3 linked regions of the Mus musculus genome follow. The protein of the gene in region 3 purifies or fractionates together with the protein of the main gene of each other region. This does not show direct contact. Links are inferred from orthologs where the notes say so. Each region holds a gene or a part of one and is shown on either strand. Other genes may lie near its edges.

Region 1 (5,818 bases), on a different chromosome or scaffold from region 3:
ACATAATGGAGATGTAAATAAGCAACAAAAAGATAACAAAGAAATCATCTAGAAAGCCCAGAATTCCAAACAAGGCTTCAGGTACAAAATCTAGAGGTGATATTAAATAGAAAAAAGCTCCCATCAAACAAAGCATTATCCTAATGCGGAACATCCAGAAGAGGCCCCCAACTGAGAACACTTCCCTGAACGCATGTCTCAGCAAGGTGGGGAGGTCCATGATCCTTTCCATAATCTGAAGGAGGAAAAACAAGTACTAGAATTTAGCATCTAAGATATCAAATTAAAAAGTAATATTTTCATATAATGTACAGATTCAGCTAAGATGAATTAAGGTGTTTTACATATTTAATACCAGACTTTCCAACTATGCATTTTATTTAAAAATTAGTTACTAGATTTTTTTTATAAAACAGGTCTTCTTATAGACAACTGAATAGCAATAAAGTATCAACATGCTTAAAATGTGGAATAATAGATTGAAAACATATCTGAAAGTCTGATACTTCAAATGCTACAGATTTTTAGGTGTTCTAAAACATAAAAGGCTCTAAAGTCTAAAAGTTTTTGAGCCAAAAAGTGTTGGATTTCAGAACATGTTAAACTTGTGACTTTATGATTTTCAAATTCAGGAGGTTCTATTTGTAAAATCATGCAAATACTCTGAAATCTGAAAACTCGGATCTCAAGTATTTCAGATAAATGGTTCTAAACCTAAAGTCATCCAAAACTCAAGTTACTGATCAATAATCTTATAAAATAAGCCAAGAAACTGTAGCCAGGAGTGGTGGTTCACTCCTGTAATTCCCAGGTTGGGAGGCAGGAGATCAGTAATAGCTCAAGGCTAGCCTAGGCTACAGAATAAGACCCTCTCTCAAAAACACCATGCAGGCTTATAGTCTGGGATTTGTTCCCAAGTGTCAGATTTACTATCAAGATATATCTGAGTTGGACTGAAAAATCCATCAATTATTAGATGAAGTGATCTTGGGGTACGACTTCCTTTAACAACAGGCTGTTTTTACTACTTGAAAAAGGCCTATGTGATAATGAATGAATGAATGAATGAATGAATGAAAAAGGCAGACTATGTACAAGTTTTATAGCCCTGGGGATTGAACCTAGGCACTTGGCAGACAAGTGTTCTAGCCTGAGCTATATCCTTAGCCGTCCTTTCATGTCTTATTCCAAGAGCATCACATCAAGTTAATAATGCTGGCCTTGAATTTGCTATCCTCCTGCCCCAGCCTCCCGAATACCTGGGATTATGTCTGTTCCACCAGGACGTGGTATTATACACTAAAAATGAACTAACGAGTATGTGAGTGTGTGTGTGTGTGCGCGCGCACTCAAGCATATAAAAATAAATAAATAAATAAATAAATAAATAAATAAATGTATATGTATATGTGTGTGTGTTGGAGCAACGGCTAAGGCACACTTGCTATTATTGTTTCTAGCACCCATGCTGAGTGGCTCACCATCACCACTCCAGTTGCAGAGGTTTTGATGCCCTCTTTAGGCCTCCAGAGACACCTACATGCATGTGGTGCACATATATACATACACACACACATATATACATAGATTAAAACAGCTTTTTTTTAAATGCTCAGTCAAAAACAGCAAAGGACTAAGTATGGTGGCACATGCCTTTAATGGCAGTACTTAGAAGCAGAGACAAGCAGAGGTCTGGGATTTCAAGACCAGCTAGTCTACACATCAAGTTCCAGACACCCAAGGCTACATAATGAGACCCTGTGTCAAAAAAATATATGAATAAATAGATAAACTCTGCCCTCTGGGAAAACTAGCAACTGGCAATGATGAAGGTTAAAACTTAGTCCAAAACACATACTAAGACTTTACATAGTTCAATAGCTGGTTGATAAATCTGATTGTACAAAAAGTATAAAGGCTCTCTCTGACTTTGTAGCTGCTATAATATTACTTACAGATCTAGGCTGCCCTGAGAATCTCCGGTTATAATCATTAACATCTTGACGCAATCTTATAACATCCTGAGATTGATCATCTTCACCAAATACTGTTAGGAGGAGAGTTACCTGTGTATTACAGGAAAAAGCTGTTACACCTTCTGCACCATTATTATCACTTTTCACTTTGTGTTGTTCAAGAGAATGAGAAAAGCTTCTGAATGTATGTTTCATTCATTCCTTTGAATAAAGGCAACATGGGGGACGTGTGAGTAATTTCTGCCTTACAGTAAAATGTAGTACAAAATGTAATTTTTAATTCCTCCAAGATAAAATGGGTTCCACATCTAAACACTTACTCTAATATTTTCCTGTTCATATCAGGCACTAAAACCCACAGTTCTCTGCAAAAAGCATATACGTGGAGATAAAAGGATGATAGGAAAACCTTCAGTAACAAAGTGACATTAAAAATATAAACCTATCATTTTCAGAGAAAGATTTAGGCACTCCCGACTGACTGGTTTTACTCACACTTGGCATGTCTTTGAGTCTTTCTATCCCACTACAGAAACTAAAGGGTTGTATGGCCTGACGCTGAAACACCAGTCCTTTTTGTCATAAGAAAATATAAGTTTTGGTACTGTTATAGAACAAAGGTTAGTCTTGCTACTTTCATGACCATGGTAAAGATGACTCACAGTTGCCTAAGGTACCTTGAAAACTATGTATAGCTAAGAATGTAACAATCTCTAAAGAATGATATCTGATAAATACAATGAGATAAGATGAAAGGGACTAAATCGGGTTTAGGGGGATGGAGAGATGGCTCAGTGGGTAAGAATGCTGGCTGCTCTTCCAGAGGTTCTGAGTTCAATTCCCAACCACATGGTGGCTCACAAACATTTGTAATGGGATCCAATACCCTCTTCAGACTTACAGAGATGTGCTTGCAGAGAGCATACTCATTTACATAGAACATAAATAAATCTTAAAAAAGAACAGGTTTAGTTTTGGATCATTCTAGATGTTTTTATCCTTCCTGAGAACAAGAAAACCACTAATCAGATATTTTCCAAAGTTAAATGAAGGAGTGACTAAGTGGTATGAGCAGCAGACACAGTCACCCATACCTTCACAGATTTGTCAATAAAAATGTAGTCTCTAAAATAAGGCACTAATTTTAAGTCTCCAGCAAGATTAGCCCTTATAGTCAGGACAGTCAAATCCAATCTTTTTTTTTTTTTGATTTTTCAAGACAGGGTTTCTCTGTATAGCCCTGGCTGTCCTGGAACTCACTTTGTAGACCAGGCTGGCCTCGAACTCAGAAATCCGCCTGCCTCTGCCTTCCAAGTGCTGGGATTAAAGGCGTGTGCCACCATGTCAAATCTAATCTTAAGAGATCTAACCTTCATGGTCTTTTCCTTCTTGTAACTATTCTTTTCTCAAAGCTAATGTAAGGCTTTAGAACATGAACTGTTTCTTTAAAATGCAGTCTTGTCAGGAACAGTAGTGTACACCTTTAATCTCAGCACTTAGGAAGCAGAGACAGATAGAACTCTATGAGTTCAAGGCCAGCCTGGCTTGCATAGTGAGCTCTAGGACAGCCAGGGTTACACAGTGAGACACTGTCTCAAAACAAACAAATGAATGTAATTGAGCATCTCCTATGCTTGGTTGAGCATCTACTATGAGCTGGGCACTATTAGTGGTATGCACACATGGAAAAAAAGATGGCACAGCCTCATCATGAATGACGTCAACATCTGCAAGAAAGGCAGGAAGCTGACCTGTTCCAGAGCCTGTTATCTGGCATTGCAGGTGGTATCAAAACTGCGCTTTCCCTTGGGAGGCCTAGTACTCCTGAAGAATAAGGCAAGGTCTTGAGGTGCTGGTATGAGTGTTTGGTAAGCTAACGTACAGAGAGGAGTGACAAGCGTGCTCTCGTCAGACAGCAGCCTGCCTGTTATTTCCATGGCCATTTGCCAGTCAAACAGTACTTTCTACTGTCTTGCCTCCAGGTTAAATGACTGAAATTAGGGAAACAATGGCTATCAGACAGACTAAGAGAGCCTTATCCCCTTACTAACCCCTAGTCAGTTTTCAGTACAACAACCACTCTAGGAAAGCCATGAGTAAAATCAAAAAGTGGGCTGAGTGTGTGTGGCGATCTGGATAGTCCCCATAAGCTTACCATTTTCAATGTTTGGTCATTAGAAAGTGGTACCACTTGACAGGGATTAGAGGGTGTGGCCTTGTGGGAGTAGGTGTGGCCTACTGGAGGAAGTACATCACTGGGGGTTGGGCTTTGGGGTTTCAAATGCTCAAGCCAGGCCCAGAGTCTCTTTCCCTGCTGCCTGTGAATCTGGATGTAGAACTCAGCTCCTTCTCCAGCACTGTGTCTTCCTGCTTGCTGCCATGCTTCCTCCCATGATGATAATGGTCTAAACTTCTGAAACTGTAAGCAAGCCCCAACTAAATGCTTTCCTTTATAAAATTTACCATTGCTCTTCACAGCAATAGAACACTGGATAAGACAGGGTGGAACTCATTTTTCAGTTTAAGATACACTGCCTGGCCTCCACATTTCTGGCAAAAGCTAAGAACTACTGGCAATTAGTTTAAGGCAAATGAACTGCCCATGACACATGTCAAATTAGCCACAGAAACAATGTGAGAGGGGCAAACCACCTTTCCTTCTAACCATGTGGGAAAAAGTAAAAAGTGCTGAGGCAGAGTTTGGGACTACAGAAATAAAAAGGAAAAGAAGGAAGCCTGGCTCTCCAGCTCTAACAGCAATGGGAAAATTATTGCTAAAACAAAGGAAGCATGCACTGTAAGGATAACTGTGTGGCTTCATTATTAAAGTTCAAAGAAAATGGGACAAGATAAATACTTAAATATTTTTAAAAGGAAGAATATATTTTTCCCAAAAGAGAACAGTATGTGGGAAAAACTCACTTATCTCTTGTTTTTTCACTACAACTGTAGGATTTCAAATTGAATTCCCCCTTTTATGATACCTTAGTGATTTTAAAAAAAAAATTTTTTTTTTAAATTTAGAGAAGTTACACAGTAGGTTAAAATGCAATTTGGCTGGAAAAGTAACTCAGTTTAAATTTAAGACTGCTAACACTGGGCAGGAGAATGGCTCAGTGGTAAGAAGACGTGCTGCTCTTGCAGAGGCCTGAGGGTCAGTTCCCAGCCGCATCATGCAGCTCACAGTCACTGAAGGACCCAGTGCCTTCTATGGCCTCTATGGACCCTTGCACTCAGGCTATGTACTTACACTCAAGCACACACACACACACACACACACACACAAAAAAAATCTTAAACCAAAAGAAGCCCTAATATTTATGAAATGAAATACCATAAGTGATACTTTATATCTAGAGAACACTACCGTTTGTCTACAGATAGGACAACTGATTGCACCAAGCCAGGACCCGTATCGCCAGTATGCAATTATGCAGGAACCTAGTGGAATAAGAAAACATCAATAATGAAGCTTTAAAGTTCATATTTGCTGGTCAAGTTTCCACTATTTAATAGTATTACTTTTCTTAAAACATTGTTTTATTACATTGTTTATTGATATAGCTTACTAAATATTCCTTGAAAATTTTACCTCATCTAACCAAATTTTCAGATAAATTAAAATCTGGCAGTCATTCCCAACCAGTAAAAAAACATTTTTCTTTTGGCTACTACTTAAGCAATGGACATTTTATACAATAAAAAGCAAATATTAATCACCTCAGTTACTGAGGCCTCAAGAAAACAGTTTCCTATGTAAAATAAACACTATACCAAATATGACAAACTGTAAGATACTATTTGTTACAAATTTGATGTATTGGAAAAATATTTTAGGAGTC
Region 2 (4,489 bases), on a different chromosome or scaffold from region 3:
AACCCCCATTCAAATCTGGGCTTTACTTTCTTAATAAAATGTTTGGCACAACCCTTTAGCTGCTGTGAGATCAACAGCTGAGAGGTTTCAGAAGTGGCCCCATTACTTTTCTGTCTGGCTTCAACACAGTATACACAAGAGCTGTCAACAAGCTGGGCAGATTCAGGTCTACCTGTGCAGCACAATATTCCAGGAAAGTTAATGTGATGGGCAAAAAGGTCTGGATGACATGATCTCCTATAGCCACAGGCTAACTCTGTCATCTTCTCATGGAAAATGAATTCAATGGCTGCCCAGGAAGTCACAAGAATTCTTTCTGATCTCCTAGCGGAGGCGAAAGTTGGAAAAGCAACTTCGGTATCTGCATCCCAGGGAAGGAGACAAAGATGACTGAGGATGCTGTCTCGGTCACTTTGTTCCACACTTCGAGAATTACTTTAAGGAGAATCAGTGTGTTAGTGACCATAGCAGCCCTAGAACCTTGGCCTTTAGATAGAAGTGTTGGGGTGAATGAATGTGCCCCAAATCCAGTTTTAAAAACAAAAAATAATTCCTGCAATTATGACATAATACTGTGCAGTGAATCAGGAATTGCACACTGCTCCTATGTCTGGTTAAAGCCCTGTCCCAGCTTTGGTCAGCCAAGAGGTGACATCTAAGCAGTTGTCTGTGGCTAAAACCGGGCACTTTAGTCACACATGGGCTGGGACAGTGAGGTTGATGACATCACTGAATAGAGGAAACACAGGGACCCGTAGCTTTGGTGCAGTGCAGGCTTTATCTCCCTTAAATTTCAGCTGCTTTCTATATCTCTGAGTCTCCTAACGCAATAAACTAGTGATTGGGAATATCTTCGAGGAACCTCTGGTCGGGTGGCAAAGTACGCGTCCCTGCAGGCCACCAACCTGACTAGAAAAACAGAAAGGTACAATTTGTATCAAGTAAATGGTCATTCAACTGGAAGATAATTTCCTGGGAACCCAGAGGTCTGGCTGTCAATCACATGGAGGAATGCCGGGACTAGACTTTAAAGAGAGCCCGGGTCCCAAGTGTCTGATGACACTTGTCTTCTTTAACTTACCGTTTTCTGAAGGTCTTCTCTCTGGCCTCCTAGCTCTTGAATGTCTGAGCACACATGTCCTCAGGGACCAATGTAAACATTATTCAATAGCTTTTAAAAACCACAGCTTGTTATATAGTGTTTGACATTCCAGTGCAGGCAGTATCTTAGCATCAGACTTTCCCTCATTCATGAGTACCGGTTTACAAAGGAACACATACAGGATACTTGATAAAACTGTGGCTGCAGAGACCGTTTGAGTGCCAGACAGCTGGGTCTATCCTGTAGTCAGCTGGCAAACCAGGACTATGACAAGAGAATCACAACAGAGCACACATTCTCTGTGAATCTTACGAGTCCACATAACCACTGTTCCCACTTAGCCCCTTGGGTCGCATCTTGATATGGGAGAACATTTCCACCTCTTGCATCAACCTGCGTTCTCCTTGTTTTGGATGGGGCTCTCTCCAGAGGGCTCACGGGCCTCCTCTGGGGGAAGGGAGTCTTCTCTCCCAGTCCTACCATCAGAGTATTTCAGAGCACAGGAGGAGTCCACAAACATGCTGGGGATGTTGCTGCCAAAGTAGATCTTACTGTTTGAGGCAATGGCCTGGTATTTCTTGAGCTCCAGATACTCTGGGGTCAGTTTGTGCTGGGTGAGGAAACAAGAGCAGAAGAGTTAGAATAGTTTGGTGCAGCAGTCATCTCTTCTCCTTGAAGACTATTTCTCCAGTTGCTCTCCTGAGTAACATGACTCAACTTAGAGTGTTTCCCAGTGACCCTATTTCATTTTGGAGTGTGGTTATCCTATGAATAGCTAAGTTCTTAGCTAAAATCCCTTTAACAAACTCCTGTCTTAATGTAGGAGAAACCTTATCCTTTTTTTTAATAGATTGGGGATCAAATAACACAGTATTTCTTTTATAGCTTATAGAGTAGTTTGCATGCATTTTGTTTCATGCTCAACTCAACCAGGCAATGACAGAATTTCAGATTCTCTTGAGAGAGGTGCACAACTCAACAGATGAGTGTTAGGGTTTCCAAGGAAAAGCCTAGGTTCACAACTGTTTAACCAGGTGTCTTAGTGACTCAACTTTTTCAACCAAATTTGAGAATTGGAGTATGTCTAGAAATCACCTAAGCTGACATATCTGCCTTTATCCACAAGTTGGCTGTTTAAGTCATTTGTGGTAAGATGGATGTTTGCCAACCACCAGAACTGCTTCTACCAACAGTTAATGTTTGAAAAAGAACCTCACATATTTCAGACCGGCCTCAAACTTGCTCTGAGGCACAGGATGACCTTGAACTTTTAATTCTCCTGTTTTTACCACAGATTACTGGGATCTTAGACACCTGTCACCACACCCAGGTTTAGGTGGTGTTAGAAACCACATTGAGGACCAGCCATGCTAGCTAAGCACTCTATCCACTGAGCTACACCATCTGCCTCACTACTAGTATTTTGTGTTGATATTTTCAACCAAACTTGCTTTGGTTTAGAACCCATTTCTATTGTTTCTTAATTTCCTCAGGATTACTCTAGTAATCTGCTCTCTGTCTTGAGTCTGTCCTGTCCTTTGCAGTGCTGATCAGTTCCTCTCTGCACTTCAGCATCTTTAGTCACTGCATCTCCACCCTCTCCAGCGGATTCTAATCATCTGCCAAAACAGTGCAGTTAAGTCTGATCAAACAGTCCAACTAAATGACTTTCTAAAGCCTTTAATACACACTGATATGAGTAGCAGTTCTCAAGATGATATCAAATGACTACCCTTTTCAGAATAAGTTTGATCTTCATAATAATGTCTTTTATTTTTAAAATGACACTTTATTTTTGTTTATATGTATGTTTGTGTGTGCACATGTGTACATGGCTGTGAAGGGGCGGAGATAGAATCTAACCCCTTAGAGTTGGAGTGTGAGTCACCCAGTGTAGGAGTTAGATATTGAACTCTGACCCCCTGAAAGTGCAACAAGCACCCTTAACCATCTCTTCAGTCCCAGTAGTGAGATCCGGATGCTTCCACCTGGCCAGATCTCCAACCACCAATTTGTACTGGCGGATGTGGAAAGTCCCCATCCTGCCTTCATCTGTCAACATTCCACTCTGCTTCATCTGAAGTCAAATTTGTTTCTAAATTTACACTGTGGAAATGTATGTGAGAGAAGATGTTAAGACAAGTACTACAGGTGTGTAGCAGGAAGGGACAGATACACAAATGCACCATAGCACGCGGACAGCCTTCAACGGTGGAAAACTATCTTGCCCCAGAAGCTGCAAGGATGTCCCTGAGAGGAGGCAGTAAAGTTCAGTTTTTATCCTGAAAAGCTAACTTATCAGGAAAGCTATTCTAACTTAGTTTTCCTCTTTTTCTGTCATTTTCTCAAAAGATCTTCAACTTCTCAGAGCCCTTTCTTACAGGAGAGATGGATGGTTTCATGGCATTTGACCTGTGCTCATGAATCCACTAGTCTTTACTCCTTACTTTTAGAAAAACAGACAATGTTCCCTCCCTAACAATGGGTATCAATATGTCTTGCTATGTATTTGGTCAATGATGGGTTGGCCACTACCCTTTTCTGATACTGAATACAACTACTTCTACCACACTAGAACCCATGATATTGAATGCACACCAGAAGCAGTTACTAGGGAAGGGCATGGGCAGTCACCTTGTTTGAGGTGGCGTATTTGTGTGCAGCGTAATACTCGGCATCTGCTTTTGCCTTCTCTCGGGCCAGGAACGCAGCATCTAGCAAATAAAACGGTAACAGCATGTTTGCAATGAAAGAAAATTGCCACTCTATTCCCTCATCTGGGTAAGAGTATCTTTTTTACTGCTTAATATTTCAATTGTTTGCCTCACTGTAAGTTATAAATTTAACAACTTAAAAACTCTCAATCCTCAGAACAGCTCCTTTATAAGGGGAATTAAAGTTCATCACTGTTAACCAACAGCTCCTTTCTAAGTTAACTCATTTTCTGTTCTAAGTAGTTCCCTTGTCCTCCACCTCCCTCCAACTTCCCATCACCTAGAGCCTTACCCTCCACCCAGGAAGGGGTCAGGCAAAACAACTACAGGCCGAATCTAGAAACACAGAGAGATAAGAAAAAGCTATATATAAGCATAGACCATGGTCTAAGAACATCCACATTAGCTAGCATATGCAAGGCCCTGGGTTCAATAATGAACAGATCTACGTGATTACAGAGTTTTAGATTTTTCATTACAACTGGACTGTATCTTTTTCCCAGCTAATTTTTTTTTTTTTTTTTTTTTTTTTTGGTCAAGACAGGGTTTCTCTGTGTAGCCCTGGCTGTCCTGGAACTCACTGTGTAGACCAGGCTGGCCTTGAACTAAGAAATCTGCCTGCCTCTGCCTCCCAAGTGCTGGGATTAAAGGCGTGTGGCCCCAGCTAATTTGT
Region 3 (6,427 bases):
AGGTGCACACCTTTAATCCCAGCAGAGGCAGGGGCAGCAGATCCATGAGTTGAAGACCTGCTAGGGCTACACAGAAAAACCCTGTCACAAGAAAAAAAAAAGTCTTATTATGTCTGAAATAATTATGCTATGTCAGGCATAAATGTTTCAAGGTTTGTATAACCCTCATCTAACTTTGATGTAGATTATGGTCTTTGTGCATTTTGCCTTTTAACTCTGTACCCCTGAGCTTGGACACCAACAGACTTCAGAGATGAAAAGCAACTCTTGGTCTGACCATTAATAAAAACTTAAAACTTTTAATTAACTTAATCAACATAGTAATCAATATGACCTTAAGGGGTCAGTTCACCATTGATACATGTCCTGCAGACCTCTCTGCTGAGCCTTACTAACCCTCCTGGGCAAATGCTCTACACATAGCTCTATATGTGTATGGTGTATCCCCTGTGTGTGTACATATATGTATTATGTACAGACAAGTACCTGCTGCCTGTGAAGGTCAGTATCCTCTGGGACCGGAGTTATAGAGACTCTTGAGTTGCCGTGTGGTATAATGAGAAGTGAGCCTAAGTCCTCTGAAAGAACAGCCACTGCTCTTAACCGATGAGCCATCTTTCCAGCCCACATGTCATCTTTTTTTACACTCATTTCCACTTCAAAGGGCAACTTGGACTTTTCCCCAAAATAAAATTTCCTAGTATTTTACTTTTTACACACCTTCCCATATTTCTCTTAGTTTCCAAAGGATCAGGCACAAACCAATCAACTCCCAACTATTGAGTGATGCGAGCTTCTATCTGTATGATGTTAGGAATGTCTTGTAAAATTTCTGGTCTTAATCTGAAAACTGAAGTAGTTCAACAAAAATATAGCTTTTCTCATAAAAAAAAAAGTATAGTTCTACTTTACAATTCTAAAACTAATATTAATACTCTGGCCAGGTGGTGGAGGTGCATGGTTTCAATCCCAGCACTCAGGAAGCAGAGGCAGAAGATCTCTGTGAGTTCAAGGCCAGCCTGCTCTACATCAAGAGTTCCAGGTCAGGGCTACATATAGAAACCCTGTCTTGAAAAATAAAAATACAAACCAACAAACCTATAGCATCTCTGTTAGATTCTTAGAATTGGCAGCAAGAAGTTCCCCAGAACTTGAGAGGGAGGGAAACACTCCAAAGTGCTGCCCCAGCCACCAGCACATGCCTACCTTAACATTCATTGATTGTCTATCTGCATATCTGTTCCTCTATTAGTATGTATCAGTGAGGGCAAGGAGAGAAAGCATTATATGCCCAGTATCTTGCACAATACCTAGCATATAAAACATATATACTCAAATATAGCATAAATGAAGAAATATGAAGAAACTAGACAGAAGTTAATTCCTTACTTTATAAATCCAAACTAATGTGCCCAAGGCAATATTTGATCTGGTCTTAATCTGAAAACTGAAGTAGTTAAACAGAGGTCCCATCCATAGAAGAGCAGAGTAGGTTATCTTTAATTAAGACTGGACTGGATGGGGCTAGAGACATGGCTCAGGAGTTAAGAACATTTGCTGCACCTGTTGCTGCTCTTGCAGAGGACCCTAATTCGGTTCCTAACACCTACATGGCTCCAAAAAACTGCCTATTACTCTAGTACTTCCTCTGACCTCCAGAGACGCAAGGCTTGAGTGTGGTGTACTTAAATATACTCAGGCAAACACCCATACAAATATGATATACAAACCCTTGTTTTTAAAAAACTAATTAGGGACTTGTTCTGCAAGCATACGGGCCTCCATTTGACTCCTCAGTATTCATGTCAGAAACCAGGCTTGGGAGCCTCTGCCTGTACCCTTAGCATAAGAGAACAGAGACAAGTCACACAGACACACATGCATGTGCAAACTCCCAAGTCAAAACTGGTCTGTAAAATCTGGGATTCAAGATTTCTGCAGATATTGGAGTCAAAGGAATAAGAAAAAATCTACAGAGATTGGCTGTCACAGATCCATCGTTATATCCTTTATGTGGAAATACTTTTTTAGGGGTGGGAGAATAAAACAGGGTCTTTCTAGGTGACCAAAGTTCTCAACCTCCTAATTGTCCTACCTCAAACTCCCAGTGCTGGGATTACAGGGCTATGTCACCATACTTAGCCAGTTTCTCAGTTTACGTTTTGGTGAAGCCAATGCATTAATACTAGGCGAGCAAAATACAAAAAAATACATAAATTTTACAGAGCTGTCATACTTATTTAATAAAACGAGTTTCTTCTTTCCAACTGACCTAGAAGAATTATACTTGTTCAGAGATTAAATAACCCACCAGAGATTATATAGCTGATGAGTGTCTACATGAGACCGCAGGATGTACACTCAGTTCCAAAGTCTATGCCATCTTTACAATCTCATAGGGACACAGTGCAGCAGAGGCCAGGAGACAGCTGGCGTCAGGCACTCTCCCTAGCAAGTGGGGCAGACAACCTACACCTTCTCAGCAACAGAGTCAATTTAGAAAACCAAGCTGCTTTTTGGCGTCCACAATGACACAGGCTTGGCTGGGTAGTGGCCACCTGCGCTTCCCAGAGCCTTCATCACTGCATCACCAACGCGGGTGCTCTGACATGCTGCAGGATGACGTTGGTGTCAGGAGTGACAGATGCTCCAGCAGCTGGCAGCGGAGATAGAGTTTCTTGCTGCTGACCAAATCTCTGTGGACAAGCAGAAACCCCAGGGTCCTTCCCGTGGGCCCATCGACGATCCAAGGGTACCGGCAACATCTGGTCCAGCCCGGCACGTGGGTTCACAGGGAGGAGGGCGGGAACTAAACAGGGCGAACTACAATCCCCACAATGCTCCCGGGCCGCGGCAGCAGGGAAGGAGAGGGACCTCAGGTGTCTGCGACCTCGGTGCCTTCGGCCCGGAAGTGCCCGAGGAGCCGAGATGGAGCTGGTGGAGCTGGGCGGTGAGTCGCTGTGCGTGGCCGCGCCCACCGGGTCGCCCCAGGCCACAGCTGGGACCTGCTTGCCCCGCCCCGAGATAGCTGGTGCCCTCCAGTAGCTCTGGGGGGCGGGCAGATGGGAGGAGTGATGGAGTAGTCGTGGGGAGGGCTAGGTCTAGGTTCTCCCCGAGGGATCAAGGGTCTGGAGACCTCTGGGTTTGGAGCCCAGGAGGCGCTGGGAGACTGCTGCGGGGTGGGCTTTGGGTGGACCCGAGAAGGTGCCGAGCTGAGTAGACAACTCCCAAGACTCCAGATTGGCCAAGGGTGGAGTTTGACATTTGGGGTTGTCTAGGAAGCTTTGGGAAGTGGTCTTTGTTGTGGGTGGGGTTTGGGTAAATGGTAAGGGGGAGGGCAGGGGGCTAGAGAGACACTTTTATCAGAGAAACTTAAGCGACAGGGCATCAGATGAGCTTTGCTATAAATAGGTGAAGGAGTGAACTTTGGGATGAAGTGAACCAAAGAATAGGTAAGCTTCTGGGTAAAGTTTGATGAAGGTTACATTTAAGGAGAGGGTTGCTTAGAAAAGCAAGGCCCTTTCTTGAACGTAAGGTTTCGGTGAATCGGGTGCTGAATGAAGATCTAGAACTCAGATAGCAAAGCTAGCACTTGGAATCTGGTGATGGGAAGGGACGTTACCCAAAAGCCAAGTTTGGGACTACAGGATGCTGCATCCTGGGTGCGCAAGCACACACAATAACTAGGACAGTTGAAGTTGGAATGACTTCTGACCAGGAAGTAGCCCCTCACCAGTTCTTTGCACCTCTCTAGCTCCTTAGCACCTCTGGCAGCAGCACGGGTGCCATGGCCTTGATTGAAGGCGTAGGCGATGAGGTGACTGTCCTTTTTGCGGTGCTTGCTTGCCTTCTGGTGCTGGCCCTCGCCTGGGTCTCAACACATACCACTGAGAGTACAGACCCCCAACCACAGCCGCCGGGGACCACAACACCAGCACAGCCCAGTGAAGCCATGTCAGCCTCTGACAGCATCAGAGAGGAGGCCCCAGGGGCTGAGAGTCCCAGCCTGAGACACAGAGGTCCATCTGCACAGCCAGAGCCTGACACAGGGGTCACAGCATCAACACCTCCAGACTCTCCGCAGGAACCCCTACTTCTACGGTTGAAATTTCTCAATGACTCTGAGCAGGTAGCCAGGGCCTGGCCTCAGGACACCATTGGCTCCTTAAAAAGGTAAGCTGGGAAGAGGGTAAGAACAAAATGCTAAAAATGGGGTGGGTGTCTATAGAAGGGTCACCCTATGAAGCTCTCCCTTATTTTCTGTTTGAAAAATCTGTCTCCTCACATTATACACCATTCCTGTTAATCTGTCCCCCAGAGGCCAGGATCTGGGTGGTCAGGTGTAGGGGTGGTGAAAATTGGGATTGGTCCTCTGAACAATGGGCCAGGACTGCCTGAGGCCTGCTCTCTTACCCAGGTCCCTCTCTCCTCAGGACCCAGTTTCCAGGCCAGGAACAGCAGGTTCGGCTCATCTACCAAGGTCAACTGCTAGGAGACGACACTCAGACACTAGGCAGTCTCCACCTGCCCCCCAACTGCGTTCTCCACTGCCACGTGTCCACGAGAGTCGGTCCCCCACATCCTCCCTGCCCACCGGGGTCAGAGCCCGGCCCCTCCGGGCTGGAAATCGGCAGCCTTCTGTTGCCCCTGCTGCTTCTGCTGCTGCTCCTGCTCTGGTACTGCCAGATCCAGTACCGGCCCTTCTTTCCCCTGACCGCTACCCTGGGTCTGGCCGGCTTCACCCTGCTCCTCAGTCTCCTGGCCTTTGCCATGTATCGGCCGTAGTGCCTCCACGGGCTTTTGGCAGTGTAGCCAGCCCCTCTGGACCTCATTCCCCAAGGCGCAAAGGGAGCTGCTGTCTGCCCAGGCCCACTTCACCCGCTGCCTGTCTTTTCCCACTACCCTGGAGCCCAGCTTTGCGCCGCAGAGGACTTCGGGTGTTAGCGGAGGCCGCTCCGTGTGATCTTCATAGCTCTAGGCCATCTCCTGGGGCTGCTGGACCTCAGCCTTCGCTGGCAGTGGGCTCTTCTGGATCAGGCACTTGCTGTCGCTGCCTTGGCCGCCAGGGCACCCCAATGGGCCCATCTTAGTGTGCTGACAGAGGATCTAGATACTTCTAGTTTCAAAGAGCTGCCTAGGCTGAATTGGAAACTGGTGGACTGGGAGACTGGTGAAGGGGAATCGAGAGGGGCAGAGTTGTTTTCTGGAATTTGTGCAGATTAAAGAAACTGTGACGTTTTCCTACCCAGTGTGTCTGTGTGTTGCTTGAGGGTGGGGAGCCCTTGTTCTACGAGAATGGAACCTGCCCTAGGTCCTGAGTGCTCAAGCTACCCCAGGGCTGGACAGAGGACCGCCACTCCCGGCACCTTTCAGCGCAAGCTCTGTGGCCCCGCCCCCGCGACGTGCGCATTTCCCGGAAGCGGAGGGCGGGGCTCGCGGCTCCTCTGCTCGCAGCGCCTGCTGGGAGCCACGTCTCCGCCGCCCTGGCGCTGGACTGCGATTGGCGTCTGGGGGCGATCCGGGGGCTGCTGGGAAGATGGCGGACTCGGTGGCCCGCTGATGAGGAGGCCGCGGGGGGAGCCCGGCTCCCGGGCCCCAAGACCAGCTGAGAGAGTGACCTACGCGGGGCCCGGGGAGTCATGTAGGGTGGCGCCTGAGGGGCGGACCTCGGGAGGGCGGCGGGAGCTGGTGTTAGTGGTGGTGACCACGGGCTGCTCGCCTCTTGGGGCCGGGACAGGGTGTGGGGGCCCCTCCCGCGGACAGCATCAGCTCCGCGCCTTGGCAGATAGCTCACTCGGGCTCGGCGCGCGCCCCGCGAGCTTGCGCTGTGTTCTCATTTCACTAGTGAGGAGGCTTAGGCAGAGAGGCGAAGACATTAGTTCAAGGTCACGCAGCTGGTAAGTGGGAGCGCCCAGCATGGGACCCAGCACCGGCCCGCTACTGAGCCTGCGTTCCACCCACCCCGCCGCCGCCGCCTCCTGCGGGACGGGGAGGTGGTCTTCAGGGCTCATCGCCCGGACCACCGGGGCTCCCAGGCTGGGTGCGACCACTAGCCCTGTGAATGACCTCAGGCTTAACCTCTCCGCCGCTCTGGGCCTGTTTCTCCGCCTGAGAAATGAGGTAACAGCCCTGAGACTCCTCATCAGCTTGCACGGAGCATCGAAGGCGATATGCATGTGAAATGTGAATAGAATTGCACTGAGCACACTTAAAGAATTAGGGTTTCTGTGTCAAGGAATGGGAGAAGAGGGGCAGACTGGGTAAGAATACCAGGGCAATCACACGGGATTTTTTTTTTTTTTAAACTTCAGGCCCTTTGGATGGGGAGTCAGGTAAGGACTAGATAGCATATTTTTCCCCTTGGAGGAAACCTCACCTGGTTTTCTGGGCCACCCCCTCAGGGTCTCCACCACCCAGCTCCATGCTT

Evidence for each region. The genes of interacting proteins can lie anywhere in the genome.
Region 1: the proteins of Tmub1 (region 3) and Rnf170 purify together in Homo sapiens (affinity purification with mass spectrometry; 3 studies listed by BioGRID and IntAct, with this or other methods). This does not show direct contact. The link is inferred for Mus musculus from reciprocal best matches to the Homo sapiens genes TMUB1 and RNF170.
Region 2: the proteins of Tmub1 (region 3) and Erlin1 purify together in Homo sapiens (affinity purification with mass spectrometry; 3 studies listed by BioGRID and IntAct, with this or other methods). This does not show direct contact. The link is inferred for Mus musculus from reciprocal best matches to the Homo sapiens genes TMUB1 and ERLIN1.

Annotation. Positions count from the first base shown.
Region 1 is NC_000074.6:26,135,228-26,141,045, reverse strand, and holds part of Rnf170 (E3 ubiquitin-protein ligase RNF170), read right to left. Parts: intron 5,418-5,818; coding exon 5,344-5,417; intron 2,342-5,343; exon of another isoform or gene 2,297-2,341; intron 2,178-2,296; exon of another isoform or gene 2,067-2,177; coding exon 1,956-2,066; intron 236-1,955; coding exon 1-235. UniProt on the Homo sapiens protein: E3 ubiquitin-protein ligase that plays an essential role in stimulus-induced inositol 1,4,5-trisphosphate receptor type 1 (ITPR1) ubiquitination and degradation via the endoplasmic reticulum-associated degradation (ERAD) pathway.
Region 2 is NC_000085.6:44,035,437-44,039,925, forward strand, and holds part of Erlin1 (erlin-1), read right to left. Parts: intron 3,817-4,489; coding exon 3,737-3,816; intron 1,713-3,736; coding exon 1,491-1,712; 3' UTR 1-1,490. UniProt on the Homo sapiens protein: Component of the ERLIN1/ERLIN2 complex which mediates the endoplasmic reticulum-associated degradation (ERAD) of inositol 1,4,5-trisphosphate receptors (IP3Rs).
Region 3 is NC_000071.6:24,444,280-24,450,706, reverse strand, and holds Tmub1 (transmembrane and ubiquitin-like domain-containing protein 1 precursor), read left to right. Parts: upstream 1-2,860; 5' UTR 2,861-2,950; exon of another isoform or gene 2,951-2,960; intron 2,961-3,754; 5' UTR 3,755-3,787; coding exon 3,788-4,173; intron 4,174-4,433; coding exon 4,434-4,785; 3' UTR 4,786-5,244; downstream 5,245-6,427. Other genes in the region: Fastk (fas-activated serine/threonine kinase), read left to right, coding at 5,560-5,641, 6,402-6,427. UniProt on the Homo sapiens protein: Involved in sterol-regulated ubiquitination and degradation of HMG-CoA reductase HMGCR. Involved in positive regulation of AMPA-selective glutamate receptor GRIA2 recycling to the cell surface.